Linked DNA regions of Rhinolophus ferrumequinum. The protein of the gene in region 1 interacts with the protein of each later gene in a pairwise test. Links are inferred from orthologs where the notes say so. Each region holds a gene or a part of one and is shown in the gene's direction. Other genes may lie near its edges.

Region 1 (7,357 bases):
AGTTCAATTCCTCGAATCCCGCAAGGGATGGTGGGCAGCGCCCCCTGCAACTAGCAACGGCAACTGGACCTGGAGCTGAGCTGCGCCCTCCACAACTAAGACTGAAAGGACAACAACTTGAAGCTGAACGGCATCCTCCACAACTAAGACTGAAAGGACAACAGCTTGACTTGGAAAGAAAAAGTCCTGGAAGTACACACTCTGTTCCCCAATAAAGTCCTGTTCTCCTTCCCCAAATTAAAAAAAAAAAAATGAAGAATGTGTGCCTGTGGTCTACACACACGAATGGCAGCATATCGTAAGGGCTATTCTGCACCTTGTTTTTTCACTTAGTATATCGTGGAAATTGCTCCCTATCAATACCTATAGAGGTGCTTCATTTTTTTTTTTTTTTTTAAAGATTTTATTGGGGAAGGGGAACAGGTCTTTATTGGGGAACAGTGTGTACTTCCAGAACTTTTTTCCAAGTCAAGTTGTTCTTTCAGTCTTAGTTGTGGAGGGCGCAGCTCAGCTCCAGGTCCAGTTGCCATTGTTAGTTGCAGGGGGCGGAGCCCACCATCCCTTGCCAGAGTTGAGGAATTGAACTGGCAACCCTGTGGTTGAGAGCCCACTGGCCCATGTGGGAATCGAACCAGCAGCCTTCGGAGTTAGGAGCACAAAGCTCCAACTGCCTGAGCCACCGGGCCGGCCCCATTTTTTTTTTTTTGTAACCATATAGAGGACTTTTTAAACCTCCCTCCTAGAACATAATTGGTTGGAAATTGTAATCTTGCGTGAGCTACTCACCTCAAGGCATCCTGGGATTTCGTTCTTAATCAGTTCAGTCTTGCTGGGAAAACAGAACTTGAGAAGAAGACACGTTTTGGAAACCAAAGTGCTCTTCCAACAACACTGTCAGAGGACAAAGTACACATACTGTGTTATGCAAGCTCCTATCATTATACCCAGAAGCGAATTATTTATTCATTTAAAGCACCAAGATAACTACCAGCAATGAGATACTCAGAGCTGTCATGGCATCAGGAAATCAAGATCACCTGATTCAGCTCCTCTCTGCACGCATTTTAGCAGATAGCAGCAGGACACACACACACACACACACACACACACACACACACACACAAATACCTCATACCTTCTTTTCCTTACAGCATTGCTTTGGTCTTTTGTATCCTAAATCACCCTTAATAATTATGTGACAAATTACTACTTAGGAAGCTTCTCTCATAAAGTAATGAGTCAGAAGGGACATGCATAACAAATCAACTCACACTGAAGTGTGTGTCACTGACTGCAGTGTTAACTCACAGGCACGTGTTAAACCAAGAAGATAAACAAATAAATGGTAGCATTGTAAACATCAGCTAAGGACTGGGGACAAGATTTTCTCAGGAGGCTGAGGGCAAGAATGAGTCTCAGAAACTCTTTTTGGTTAGCTTCATATCCAGTACCATAACCTTGTCCACAGATGACCACTCGCCTTCCAAACCTGGGGGAGGAAAAAAAAAAAAAAAAAAAATATATATATATATATATATATATACACACACACAAAATTTAGAAACTTAGCTCATTGTGTAAATTTTACTTAAATGCTCTTGTCCTATAAATATTATTCTGCAAATTGCTTTTTTTCACTCAAAAATATATTTGGAGCTTTTTTCTATAATACATAAAGATTGACCTCACATTATTTTTTTATGGCCACATGGTATTCAATCACTGTGTATCAAACATTAATGTGCATTCAAATCAGCTGGGGATCTTGTTAAGACTCAGATTCTGATTGGGTAGGATTGGGTAAGTGCTGGGGTTCTGCATTTCTAAAAAGTTCCCAGATCATCAAATCACAGTTTGAGGAATAACGATGTAGAGTACAGGTGAAGTTGTGTGCTAGAGCCAAGTTGGACCAGCTCATAGGAACTGATTGTCAAATTTCCAGGAATTTTGTGATCCTGTTGTTAAACACAGCAATCATTAAAAAATTAAATTATATGAACTTACAATTAAATAAATCATATTACAAACACAGATAATAAATACTCAAAAATCATCACTTTCCTAATTATCTTACCATAAATCTATGCTCTTGAGGTTATGTCAATTTTAAGTCTATGATGGAAATCTATATAATGCTATGCTTTTAAATATCTCTTCCCAACTCCATGTTTAGTGCATGATGGCAACCTGGAATTGCCACAGGGAGTGTTTATTTACCCCACAGAAATTGAGTATAAAGGCATGCATTACCCCAAGCCTTCTCTAACTCTTGGTATTACCAGTTTTTTTTCATTTTTGCTATACTGACAAATCAAAATGCATTTCTCTAGTTTCAGGGAGACTGGGTCTCTCATATGTTCACTCCTAGGACTTCTAATAGTATTTCTTATAGGACGTTTTTACTATTATATTTTCCAGTTGATTACTGTACAGGCAAGCCAATGATTTGAAAATCAGGCCACCCCTCCTACCAGTTCTAAAAAACTGTCAGTCTATTTTCTTGGAGGTTCTAGGTAATGCTATAGTATAACCTACAAATAATGACAAATTTTATTTTTCCGTCTACTATGTAATTGTTTATTTTGTTTTGTGGCACTGGCTCTGACTGCAGGTCCACACTGACCACTACTGGCAACAGCTCACCAGTGTCTTACGCCTGATTTGAATAAGAGCACTTCTGTATTTCCCCACTAATGCCTGCTGTAGATTTCTAGCAGACAGCCTTTATCCTTCCTCTTTCTGGTTTTGTAAGATGATTTTGTTTCGTTTTATCAAGAATGGATGTTCAATTTATCATTTACTTTCACTTTCTAAGGTACATGTTTTGGTGATACTCGAATTTCTCACATTAACGTGTACTCCGTTTTTGTGATCAGAGGAACATTAAAGATATTTCTTTAAGTCTCCTTTCTTTATACATTGTACCCCTGTTTCAGCTCTTTTCACTATCCTCAAATGTGTCCCTTCCCCAGTAGCTGGACAAGAATGTTCTCTGCATGTCCCACTCAGCACTGAAACTTTGTACATAATGGCATTTCAATAGTTGGTCAAGGAATGCCAAGCGTTTAACCCATCACCTAGTGTGTATATTCTTGAACACTCCCCTGAAAGAGCTACTCCTTTGAAGTGAGGGGTGTAGGACCTTTCCCACTACACCCCACTCCCTGGACATTCTCACCCCAGTACATAAATGCTCCATCCATCTGTCATCCCTGGAATGTTGATAACACCCCTGGTGCCAGGACCTAGGGGCCACCAAGAGCCCTGACCAGTATCTATGGTTAGGCAGCTGCATGGGGCTTTAAAATTGCGTTCACCACTTCTGACACAGAAATATTGGAATTGCCTCCAAGAACACACGGAACTTGTTTTTTTCCCTGTCGTCTTAAGATGTGGAAAGAATACAGATGGGTATCAGAGTCAAATCCCAGATGCCTCCAGACAGCTGTGTGATCTTAGGCAAGTCATTAACTTCTCTGTCCCTCAGGGACCTCCCATGTAACGTTAACACTTACCAAGAAAAACAAAGGCCCAGAAACGATCTGAGAGTGGGTTGTTCCAGGCCCCTGGACTTACTTGAGTCCAAACCCCACCTCTGCCATTTACTACCTTGGCTAGGTTAGTCATCTCTGTGTTTAGGTTTGTTCACATAAAATGACAGTAAAAGTACAAAGTTGAGAGGGCAACTGTGAAGATTAAACGAGATAACACGTTAAGCTTAATCGTACAGCTAAAGCTCATGGTGAGCACTCTATGACCATTAGCCATGTTCCTATCATTATCACAGGGTGCCTGAGGCGAGAAAGAGCACTTTGTACAGTACCTGTCCGACCAGGTGAGCTGGTGGGGCGAGTTTCTTCTCTGACTTTCTGACCTTGAAGAGGGGTGGGGGGCGATGGTTGGTGGCTGTCCTACTACCTCCCGGCCGGCAGAGGGCTCCCGCCACCGCCGCTGAGGGCGCGGAGAGGGCGGGGAGGAAGACTAGGCCTGGCGCGAGGCGGGGCGAACGATGAGGGCGGGGCGACGCCGAGGCCCCGCGCGGGGCGGGCGAACAGCGGAGGCGGGGCAGACGGTGAGGCCTGGAGGGGCGCTGCGCGGGGCGGGCCCGGCGGCAGGAGTGGGGGCGGGCCGACTGCAGGGCCCAGGGGAGCGGATACTAGCCGGTGTGCGGGGCCGTGCAGGTGCGTGCCCACCGCTTGCCCGGCTCGAATTTCTAGCTCAGACCCGGCCCGGCGCCCGCTCGGGCCCAAGCAGCACGCTGAGGTGGGGGCCGAGCCCGACCCAAAACGAAATCGAAAGCCTGGCCCGGAGTGACCTGACCTTCCTGGGGTTGGAAAGGGGTAGCCTGGAAGAGACTGGGGTGGGGTGGGAACAAGGGATGGGCGGGGAGGAGAGGTATTCCCTGGTGAACGGGGCCTTAGTTACAGAAGGGGGTCGCGCACGTGGTTCAGACCAGTTCAGAGTTAGGAGCCGGTTTGGGAGCTCAGAGTCGGGAACCCGACCGGCATGTCCTAGCCTGGCGGACACGTGGGGGTGGGACTTAGCCGGCGGCGCTGATGCTCGGACTAGGGGGCGGGGTGTCTTGGACGAGCTGGGCGGGGAGCACTGTTGGGGTGATGATACTTTGGCTGGAAGGCACAAACTTTTCAGCGGAGTGAGGTTCGGCCCGACATCTGCGTCTCTCTGTGGGGAAACGGGCAGAAACAGAGGTCAGAGCCTTGGATCGGTCACTTTGGGGGGTTGGGGTGGAAGTCCCTGGAGCCTGGATGATAGTCGGTGTTATTTAGAGCGCTCCCCTCTCCTAGGTGGCCATGAGCGGCATGGCCCGCAAAGAGGCGGTGCAGGCCGCGGCCCGAGAACTCCTCAAGTTCGTAAACAGGAGCCCCTCTCCTTTCCACGGTAAGTGACCAGGGCAGCGGAGGAGGGTGGGGCGGGTGTGCCCCCTACCGGCTTCTGTCGCGGTGAAAGGGTTCTTTTTCTATAGTTGTTGCGGAGTGCCGCAGCCGCCTCCTCCAGGCTGGCTTCCATGAACTCAAGGAGACCGAGAGCTGGGATATCAAGCCGGAGAGCAAGGTACTAGGGGTGGGGTAGAGACCGAAAGGCAGCTCCCTGGGCAGGGACTCAAAGTCCCGTGTGCCAGCTGGCTGGCTAATCTAATTCAACAACCCCCCCCCCCCCCAGTACTTCCTGACCAGGAACTCCTCCACCATCATCGCTTTTGCTGTAGGAGGCCAGTATGTTCCTGGCAACGGTTTCAGCCTCATTGGGGCCCACACAGACAGCCCCTGCCTCAGGGTGAGGAACTGGGCTGTTCTGGGATGGGGGAGGCATCAAAGCGGGAGAGAAGTGGGCAGAAGAGAGCTGGGAGGTACACATTGGGGGATCTATTCCTTGGAGCAGGAAAACGTTTTGTCTTCCCCTTCTTCACACTTTGGGTCTTTCTGTCACCAGTGTTCCTTCTATGTTACTTCGCTTGTGGATAGTCTATCTCGTTTACAGATCGTGTCGTGCAGCCTTCTCTGACTTCCCATTCCCCGTCTTCACACTCAGGTAAAACGGCGATCACGTCGCAGCCAGGTGGGCTTCCTGCAGGTTGGTGTGGAGACCTATGGTGGTGGGATCTGGAGCACCTGGTTTGACCGTGACCTGACCTTGGCTGGACGCGTCATTATCAAGGTAGTAATTGGGGTTGAACCTGGGAGGTTCTCAGCTTCAGCTACCTGAAGATTGATTGTCACCTTCCTTCAGAGGACCTGTGGAGAGCCCTCCCCCACAGGGAGGGGGGTGGGTAAGGGCAGTCCAGGTCAGAGGACCAGCTCGGTTAGTCTGTGTGAAGTGGGAGCTTTAACTAACTGATCGGGAGGCACCCTGGGCTGACCCTGGCTGGTCGGCCACAGTGCCCTGTCTCAGGCAGTCTGGAGCAGCGGCTGGTGCATGTGGACCGGCCCATTCTTCGCATCCCGCACCTGGCCATCCATCTGCAGCGAAATATCAATGAGAACTTTGGGCCCAACACGGAGATGCACTTGTGAGACTGGGCGAGGGCTGTGGTGACCGAGCGGGATGGGGTGTGGCCCCAGGTGACGGAATGGGCCCCAGTGGGACTTGGGAGATCACTGTCTCAGGTAGCCACAGTCAGGTTCTGTTTTTGGGACCCACTTAATGTCCAAGGGTGCTCAACAGTTCTTCCATTCGGGGGGCGAATTGGGAATTAAAGGGCAAGGGCTGTTCCCCATCAGGAGATACCTGAGCTTAGGGGTACCCCACCCTGTTGTGCCCTCCCCACAATCCCTCCTCACTTATCTCCCCACAGAGTTCCCATTCTTGCCACAGCAGTCCAGGAGGAGCTAGAGAAGGGGACGCCTGAGCCAGGGCCCCTCAATGCTGCAGTAAGACAGTCCCTTGTTCACAGGGAGGGGTGAGCAGGTGGGGAAGGGACTGATCCCCTTAGAAGGGGAGAGGAGAAGAAGAGCAGAGCCTCCTCCCAGCACCCTTCCGCCCTGCAGGATGACCGGCACCACTCAGTCCTCATGTCTGTTCTCTGTGCCGATCTGGGGCTGAGTCCTGAGGATATCGTGGAAATGGAGCTCTGCCTGGCAGACACCCAGCCTGCGGTGAGGAATGACAGCAGGAACTTGTGAGGCGGGGAGCCTCGGGGATACCAGCCTGCCCCAGTCTGTCCCCTGCAGCACTGTCAGCTCTGCCAGTCCGTCAGTACTCTCGTCCCCGTTCTTTCCAGTAGACACTCCTCCCCTCGTCTCCAGGACAGTGGTTCTCAAAAACGGCAGTTTCCTGCACCGGCCCTGCTTCCTGGGGCTCTCTGGGGTGGGGCCTGGGAATTGGCTTTTCCACAGATCCCCAGGAGTTTTTGCTAGTTTTTCCTGTCTCCTTTGACTCATCCTAGCTCTGAACTTCTGAAGGCAAGAGGGCTCCATGTGGCCACCCTTTTTCTGGAGCCTGTCCTCAAGTCCCTGCCGGTTGCTGACAATCGGAGATTGCTAAGACTGGATGTCTGATCCTGTTTGAATGTATTCTAAGTTTCTGTGTCTTCGCTGGTCTCCTCTTCTCATTATTTCTTTAGCTTTTCTTGTGACCATTCAGCCCCTTTTCCTGTGCCACAGGAACTGGTCAGGAAAGGCAGGTCTCCACCGTTCCATCCCTCAGCTCCAGCCTAGCCCCATTCACCATTCTCTGCTCAGCCCTACACAGCAGAAGCATAGTCCAAAGCCAGGGGTCAGGGACAGGTTGTGCAAGGAACCAAGGAAGCAGCTCAAGCTAAAGCCCTTGGGAGCAGGGAGAAGCAGGTGAGTCAGGCATGGGATTAAAGGTCAGGCTGACTGTCTTATCTTTCTAGGTC
Region 2 (7,857 bases), on another chromosome or scaffold:
TTCTAGAATGCTTTGGCTATTCTTATTCTTTACAACTCCACAGATATTTTAAAATTTGTTTGCCAAATTTCACAAAACATATCTGTTGAGATTTTTATTGGAATTGCATTGAAGCTATAGGCCAATCTGGGGAGAACATATTCATAAAATTGAATCTTGTAAACCACAAACATGACTTATCGCTCCATTTTTTAGCCCTTCTTCACTGGACTCCAATGGTTTTATAATTGTCTCCATACACTCTGTATAGACAATTAGATTTATTCCTATTTGATCACTTTAAATGTCATAATGAATGGTATTTTTAAATTATATTTTCTCTGTGTTGCTGGTATATACAAATGCAATTGATTTCTGTATAATGACTGTAGCCAGCAACCTTACTAATAGAGCTTATAATTTTAATAATTTATCTGTAGCTTTTCTACAGATACAATAAGATATTATACGAAGACAATAAGTATCTGCAGATAATAACAATTTTGTTTCTTCATTCCCAATCTTTACACCTTTATACCTTTATTTTACCTTACTGTACCGAATAGGACTTACAATACAAGGTGGAAAAAATGTTGTGATAGAGGCATCCTTCTCTTGTTCAAAATCTTAAAGGAAATGCATTCGGCTTTTCATCACTAAATATATTTGTTGTAGGTTTTTTACAAATAACTTTTTAAAAATCAGATTAAGGATGCTTTCTTCTATGTTAAAAGTTGGTTTTTGTTTGTTTGTTTACTAGATGTTGAGTTACACTGAATATTTTTTTACCTACTGAGATAATAGGACTTTTCCCATTAATATGTTAATGTGGGACATTGGATTAATACATTTTCTAATGTTCAGCTAATCTTGAATTCCACTGTCTGAAGTTTTTGATTCAATTTTGTTACCTGCTGGATCTCATTCGTGGGGTTTTGTTTCCTTGTTTGTGTGTAGTGATATATTTTATTTTACTGTAAGCTGCATATTTTCTTGGCAAATATGTGTGGAAATGAAGGCTTGGTATTAATGAAGACTTCTCCAGAAAAGACATATTTCTGCCAGGCACATTGGGGATCTATTAGTCAAGAACTCACTTGATATTCACTTAAGCTTTGCTAGGCCACCCCAATAGTGTGACTGTCGGCTACCAACCATTGCAAGGGCCAATCTATACTTATAAAATGTCAAGGGACAGGCTTCTTTTCAGCTCCTTGTGGTAGATTCAATTAGTCCTGAAGGAAACAGGTGAGTGGCTGCCACTGGTTAGGGGAAAGGGGATTGGGAATAATTATGGGTATGAGGTTTCCTTCGAGGGTGATGAAAATGTTCTGAAATTAGATAGTGGGGATGGTTGTACAACTCTGTGATTATACTGAAAACCACTTGAATTATTCATGGGTAAATTTTATGGAAAGAGAGAAAGACAGCAACTATTTCTTAAGTATTAATAACAATCACTATAGTTTCTTAACATATAAAAATGGGAAAACTGCGCCCAAAACTCCTCAAATTCTATGTGACCAGACCTACAGAGGCTGTGACCCCTGTCACTTCTGAACTCAGCACTGAACTGTGGTGTGTGGGATCTGACTCTCTAAATTACTACCAGGACCCAGGTAACACAACTCAGAGGTGTGGGAAAATTAACACCCAGTTGGGTTAACTTCGACCAGTAAGAGATAAGGCCAAAATCTGCTGGCAGATCAATTTTTTTCCTTTCCTTGACAGTTTCAAGATGCCATGGTTCTATACAGCATATCTGGAGGCATCCAGAGAGACTGAGAAACAAGCTGTATTTTCTTGAATAGCAGTGGCAAGCTCAGGAGCACACCAATTTATATTTTCTTTCCATCCTTCTGTGCCTCATTTTCCCTTTCCCCTCACTCTTACACCCATTGGATTGCATCCTACAGTGAAGTTTTAGCACATATGTGTTGCCTCAGGCTCTGTTTGCTAGCGAACCCAGAAACTAATCTTCCAACTGTATAATCTTGTCCTAGGCCCTCCCTCAGAGGAGGCCTGCTTCATGAGGGAGGTGGGGGAAATGAAGAATGGTTTGGCTCAGGAGAAGGAGCAAGGAGAGAGGAGAGAGAGAGAAAAGAGAGATTGCTGGCTCAGACGGTAGATGCATGTTCAATTTTAAAAGATAATGGAAAATTGTTTTCTTAACTGTCAAGTACCAGTTTTACTCACACCAGCAATGTTCAAGAACTCATATGGATCACACGCTTTTCAACAGTTAATATTGTTATACATTTTCATTTTGATAATTGAATGAGTGTACAGTGGTATTTCACCATAGTCTTGCTTTTTATTTCCCTTATTACTAATGAGGTAGGATATCTGTTCATATACTTATTGGTCATATGTATTTCTCCATCTGCGGAACGTTTATTCATGCTTTTTACCCATTTCTCTACTGGATTGTTTGTGTTTTTCTTATTAATTTCTATTTATATTCATAATAGGAATCCTTTGTCACTTGTGTATTTTTTTTAATTTTATTTTTTAAATTTATTGGGGTGACAATTGTTAGTAAAATTACATAGATTTCAGGTGTGCAATTCTGTATCACATCATCCATTATGTTAAGTGAAATAAGTCAGACAGAGAAAGATAAGTACCATATGATCTCACTTATTTGCGGAATCTAAAGAAAAGAATAAGTGAATGAACTAATCAGAAACAGTTTTGGAGACAAAGAGGAAAAACTGAGGGTCACTTGTGTATTTTGAAAATCATTTCTTCCAATGCATATCTTGTCTTTTGTGCTTTTTACGTTGTCTTTTTTTATTAATTAACTATTTATATTTTTTGTACTGAGTTTGAAATCCAGTACGTATTTTACACTGCAGCACATCTCAATTCATACCAGCACATTTCTAGTGTTCAACAGCCGCACGTGTCTAGTGGCTACTATACTGGAAAGCACAGCTCCAGATCAAGAAAACCAGATAAAGGCTCTCCTTCCACCCCCCTCAAGTCCACCCCTCCGTTCTACTTCCTGTCTGAGGACCCACTTCTTTCTCAGGTGGCTGCCTTGGAGAATGGCTTCTGGTTTCTTTTTCTTTTTTTTTTTTCCTAATGTTTCACTTTTTTTTTTATTAGTTTCAGGTGCACAAGACAAAGTAATACTTAGACGTTTATCATTTATCTCCCTCACACTGTGGATCCCCCACCCCCCATCCACTATCTCTCTGACATCGCACCGAGCCATCCCATTTCCACTGTCTCCACTCCCAATGCTGTACTCCGCCTCTTGTAAGTGTATACATACACATATATACATACATATATATAATATTATAGTTGGCATTCATTATTGTTCAGCTTCAGGTGTACAGTGCAGTGATCTTACATTGTCTTTTGATGAGTGAAAGTTCTTAATGCTACAGTCAAAAATCAATATTGTTTTATAGTCAACCATTTGTCTGCATTGTTTAAGAAATCTTTTTTCTATCCTAAAGACTAAAAGTTCTTTGCTGATATTTTCTGTCAAGAGCTTTAAAGTTGTGTTTTTGACATTTAAGTCCTTAATCTGGAATACATTGTGTGTGTGTGTGTGTGTGTGTGTGTGTGTGTGTGTGTGTGTTTGCCTTCCTTCTCCTTTAGGGTAAGCTTGGGGAAGGGAGCTATCACTCATATGAATTCAGCCTCTTTGCAGGCAAAGTGGGTGATCTGGCTCCAAACTCTTGCCCTTGGATTTTCTCCTGTTAGCTGAGTTACTGGAAGGTCCCAAATAGAGTACATAGAGTTATGAACTGCTTGTAATACTGTGAGGTTACTAGCTTGGCTTAAAGGGGGCCAGGTTTTCATCAGGTAAAGGTGTCTACAGACGCCTTAGTGGACAACCCTGAGTCCTGTAAGTCCAGTAAAAGTTTTGTTCAGAAAGACTGCTGTTTAACGCCACCAAGGTGTTAGGATGCTAAGGAATCCTACTCTGGGATTCCTAAGGAATCTCGGCTCCCTTTGCTCCCACTGATCCCTCAAAAATTTTGTGGCATTAACAGCAGGAGGTGTGGACTAAGACAAGGAGAAACAGTTTGCTGTTAGAGGCAGTCAGGTCTTCCGTCACTGAACAGCAATGTAAATGACGAGAGTACCAACAGCACAGGAGCCTTAAAGGCATTTTCGCAATGTCCTGTACCCGCATGCATTTATAGGTAGAGCCTGGAGTTGAAAGGGCGGCCGTCGCAGCCCCTGGAGACTTCCCTCCCATCCCCAGGAATTCGGCCAGGGTGTGGGCCGTGCACTCAACCGGCCCAAGGCTGGGGGCTGCTCCGCTGTTTTGGCGCGGTTTTCTTTATTCCTCGGAGCCCCTCTGGGATTCAGCCTCAGGGGCCGAGACAAGAGCTGCGCCTCCTAGTGGTCCTCAGGAGCCGGGTGCCGGGAGCCACGGGGGTCGGGCGTCGGCGGGTCCAGGGGCGGGGCGAGGGTGGCAGTGGGCGGGGCGAGGGCGGCAGTGGGCGGGGCGCCTGCGGGGTGGAGACGGGCCCTGCCGCACCGCCTCCGCCGCCTCCGCCGCCCCGCAGGCCCGGAGCCCTTGCACTCCAGCCTCCGTCCGACCCCTAGTCTCTGCGTCCCCGCGTCTCTGCGTCCCGGCACCGACAAGATGACGCTCAAGGCGAGCGAGAGCGAGAGCGGGGGCAGTATGCGTACGGCGCTCTCCGACCTCTACCTGGAGCACTTGCTGCAGAAGCGCAGCCGGCCGGAGGTGAGCGGGCCCCGGGGGTCCCCAGATCGCGGGGTGCGGGGCCAGGACTCGGGTCCAGGTGGCGCCACCCGCTGCAGGACCTCCCCTGGCTGCGGCCTTGTCTCCGGGGGTCCTGTCCCCAGGGGTCCTGTCCCCGGGGTGAAGGCCGAGGCGGCCAGCAGGGTGTGTGGACTTTGGGGGACGGTGGGTGGTTGCCCCCAGCAGCCCTTTTAGGTGGGAATCCGGAGAGGCCGAGGCCTGGACAGAGTGCTTATTAAGGTCAAGGAAACTTCTTCGTGGACGGAAATCAGGGTAGCAGAAAGACTTGAAGGAGCAGATCCAAGAGTAGGTCTACTTCGTGGGTGTAGAAATGCTTGTGTTTGGTCAGCAGAAAAGGTTGTAAAAGCCAACTGTCCCTCTAAAGTGCTCACTCACTGTCCCTCTGCATATAGGTAGGCAGAACCCCTTGTGCTAGTCTGCAAATGCAGTAGCCCTTGTGTATTTGTGGGTAGACAAGGAATGCAGGGATTTCAGAGGTAATTCTGCCCTCCTGATTCCTGTGATGGGCTGGAAAGACCTGTTAACCTCTGTCCTCAAAGATGCCACAGAGAAGGTTGGGCATTTTCTTCTTATCTCTCATAGTTCTGGGTGTGGGTTGGACCCAGCAAGGTAAGGCTGTTGCTCAGGGTCTCAGGCAGGGGCACAGCCACCAGAAGGCTCACTTAGTACCTCACTGTCTGGAGGCTGAGGCTGGCTCTGAGTTGGAGCTGTCAGCCACAGACCAGCAGCCCCTCCATGTGGCCTAGCCTTCCTCACAGCATGGTGGCCAGGTACCAATGACTGTCCACAGAGAGAGAGGGATGTGGGGAGAGAGAGCCAGGCAGATGTTTTGTTGCCTTTGATGACCCAGCCTCAGAAGTCGCAGCGTCACTCTCTTTCCTAGACTGCAAGATCTTCCAGATCACGCCTATTTCACACTCACTGTTTTTATTTTAAATGCCTTATGAATGAGTCCTCAGAAAGGTTTGCTGAATTAATAAATGACTGAGAGAAGGACATTAAAGATTTAGCATAACCTTCTGCCTTCACAGGTGAGGAAACTTAAGATCCCCGAGGCAAAGCAAACAGTAGAGCTGCAGACTCCGGGCTGGGTGGCATTATCTCAAGGAAAACACTGATAAACATGAGAACTGAGGCTGGAGTTTGTATCTGCAGATTCCAAGCTCAGTGTACTCTCTGCTTTGCCACATCACCACTCCTTTACACCGCCCTCAGTGCCGTGTTCACACCTGTCTATCGTTTCAAATCGCGATTGCAATAGTCTAGGATTAAACGATCTGTGGCATGAACAGGTGGGGAAGACACTTGTTATTCAGATGACAAGACAAAATTGGAAGTCATGGAGTGTAGACCCTAGAAGAGAACCAGGGTCTAAAACTACTTGGTTCCCCGGAAGCTTGGCTGTGTGATATTTTTTCTGCCCTATGATCAGCTCACTTGGCTGAGCCTTAGTTTTTTTCAAAATAATCTCTTTATTAAATTTACTTTTGGCAGCTTTATTGAGGTATCATTAACATACATGTAATTCATGAATTAAATTGTGCAGTTCGATGGATTTGACAAATGCATCCAGTCATGTAACTGTCACCAAAGTCATGATATAGAATATTTACATCACTCCAGAAAGTTCCCTCTTGGTACTTTACAGTCAGTCCCCCTGCCCTGGAAATCTGGAAACCACACTGCAAATGGATCTTCTTTCTGATACTATCCTTTTGCCTTTTCAAGACTGTCTTGTAAATGGAATCCTACTATGTGCCGTCTTTTTTCTAGCTGGCTCCTTCCAGTTGGCATAGGCTCAGCCCCACCTATAACTCCATGACCAGACCTTGGGTAAACCTTACGGGCAGGTTGAGATATTGTCTACCTTTTTGAAAGAGGCCCTATCACTCCAGGAGTTATGTTTGTGGGTACACCGTCTAAATAAACAGCAGTTTCTGTGAGGCTGTGAGTTTATCCTAAAATACTGGATGCAGTGTACGGGTTAGCCCGTTTATTTTGGTGTTATTAAAGGACTTGAAGAAGCTGAAATAAAAAAAAAACTTATTAAATTCCTGAATGAAATAGTATCCAGACCAGCCAAGGTGTGGACATCGGAGGGAGAATCTCCACCTGGTGACTGCTGTCTTGACCCCACGAACCTGCTGATTTTTATTTCCTCAGGTTCACCTTCCCTTTGGGGCTCTAACCGTCTTTGCTGCCAACACTAGGCTCTGCCTCTCACTCGCTGTGTGGCCTTGGGCAAGCTGCTGAAGCTCTCTGTGCCTTAGGTGTCTCTTTGTGAAATGGACCTGCTAGGAGGGTTGTGGTGATGTTTACCCGAGGTAACGCTTGTCAAGGACCTCAGATCTCACTGGGACATTGAACCACATGGGGACATCCAACATCTCTCTAAGAGATGTCTCCCTATCCTGGCAAGAAGCAAGAAAACCTGTGAGGAAGTTGTTGGCTGTAATGGAATTCATAAAATTATGTTGCTGCAGGCTTCGTTTAAAGGGATTGCTTTCTGTAAAAGTTCTAAAGACTCAAAACCCAAAGTTTCTCTTTTGACTGTAGTCCACATGTGATATTAAAAAAGTATTGTCAGTCGATCATTTTGCAATAGGTTTGAGCTGTAGCCTGTTTCCTGTGTTTAAGTAGTTCCTTCCTTGGAGAAACTGATTTCATAAGCTCTCTCTGGCCTTATTCTTTACAGTAGTAGCCATTAGTGCACATAAAATTGGTTCTAAAATTCCTAATGCTACTTTTCAGTCTTATTTGAAGCAGCACTTTTCCACGACCTGAAGCAGCAGGTCGAGAATCCCTGAAAATTCACTTGGCCCTATCTCACATCAAAAAATGACCTAACAAATAAGTCAGGCCCCAGGTGAGTTTCCACTAAGACCGGTCTGTTGATTCTTAGGCCCTGGGGTGCAGCATTACTCCACACTGGTTATCATTCGTTCTGGCCTACTGTGCACAGGTCTGGTGCCGAGGCTAAGACATAACTGAGGACTCAGGCAGGCGTAGGGTACTGAGAAGCTGTTGGAACCTGTGTCTTTTCACAAAAAGGATAATGGAAAATAAAGTGTGATTTTTCAAATTATTTAGTCCTCTCCCCACTTTCCCAGTACAGGGTATGG

The links. The genes of interacting proteins can lie anywhere in the genome.
Region 2: the proteins of DNPEP (region 1) and MPP1 interact in binary tests that used the Homo sapiens proteins (3 or more experiments, as listed by UniProt). The two-hybrid records come from large-scale screens. The link is inferred for Rhinolophus ferrumequinum from reciprocal best matches to the Homo sapiens genes DNPEP and MPP1.

Annotation. Positions count from the first base shown.
Region 1 is NC_046291.1:16,123,343-16,130,699, forward strand, and holds the start of DNPEP (aspartyl aminopeptidase), read left to right. Parts: upstream 1-4,136; 5' UTR 4,137-4,263; intron 4,264-4,561; exon of another isoform or gene 4,562-4,709; intron 4,710-4,787; exon of another isoform or gene 4,788-4,805; 5' UTR 4,806-4,811; coding exon 4,812-4,899; intron 4,900-4,984; coding exon 4,985-5,073; intron 5,074-5,181; coding exon 5,182-5,295; intron 5,296-5,550; coding exon 5,551-5,676; intron 5,677-5,897; coding exon 5,898-6,028; intron 6,029-6,313; coding exon 6,314-6,389; intron 6,390-6,506; coding exon 6,507-6,614; intron 6,615-7,354; coding exon 7,355-7,357.
Region 2 is NC_046284.1:5,755,941-5,763,797, forward strand, and holds the start of MPP1 (55 kDa erythrocyte membrane protein), read left to right. Parts: upstream 1-4,452; 5' UTR 4,453-4,594; coding exon 4,595-4,696; intron 4,697-7,857. UniProt on the Homo sapiens protein: Essential regulator of neutrophil polarity. Regulates neutrophil polarization by regulating AKT1 phosphorylation through a mechanism that is independent of PIK3CG activity.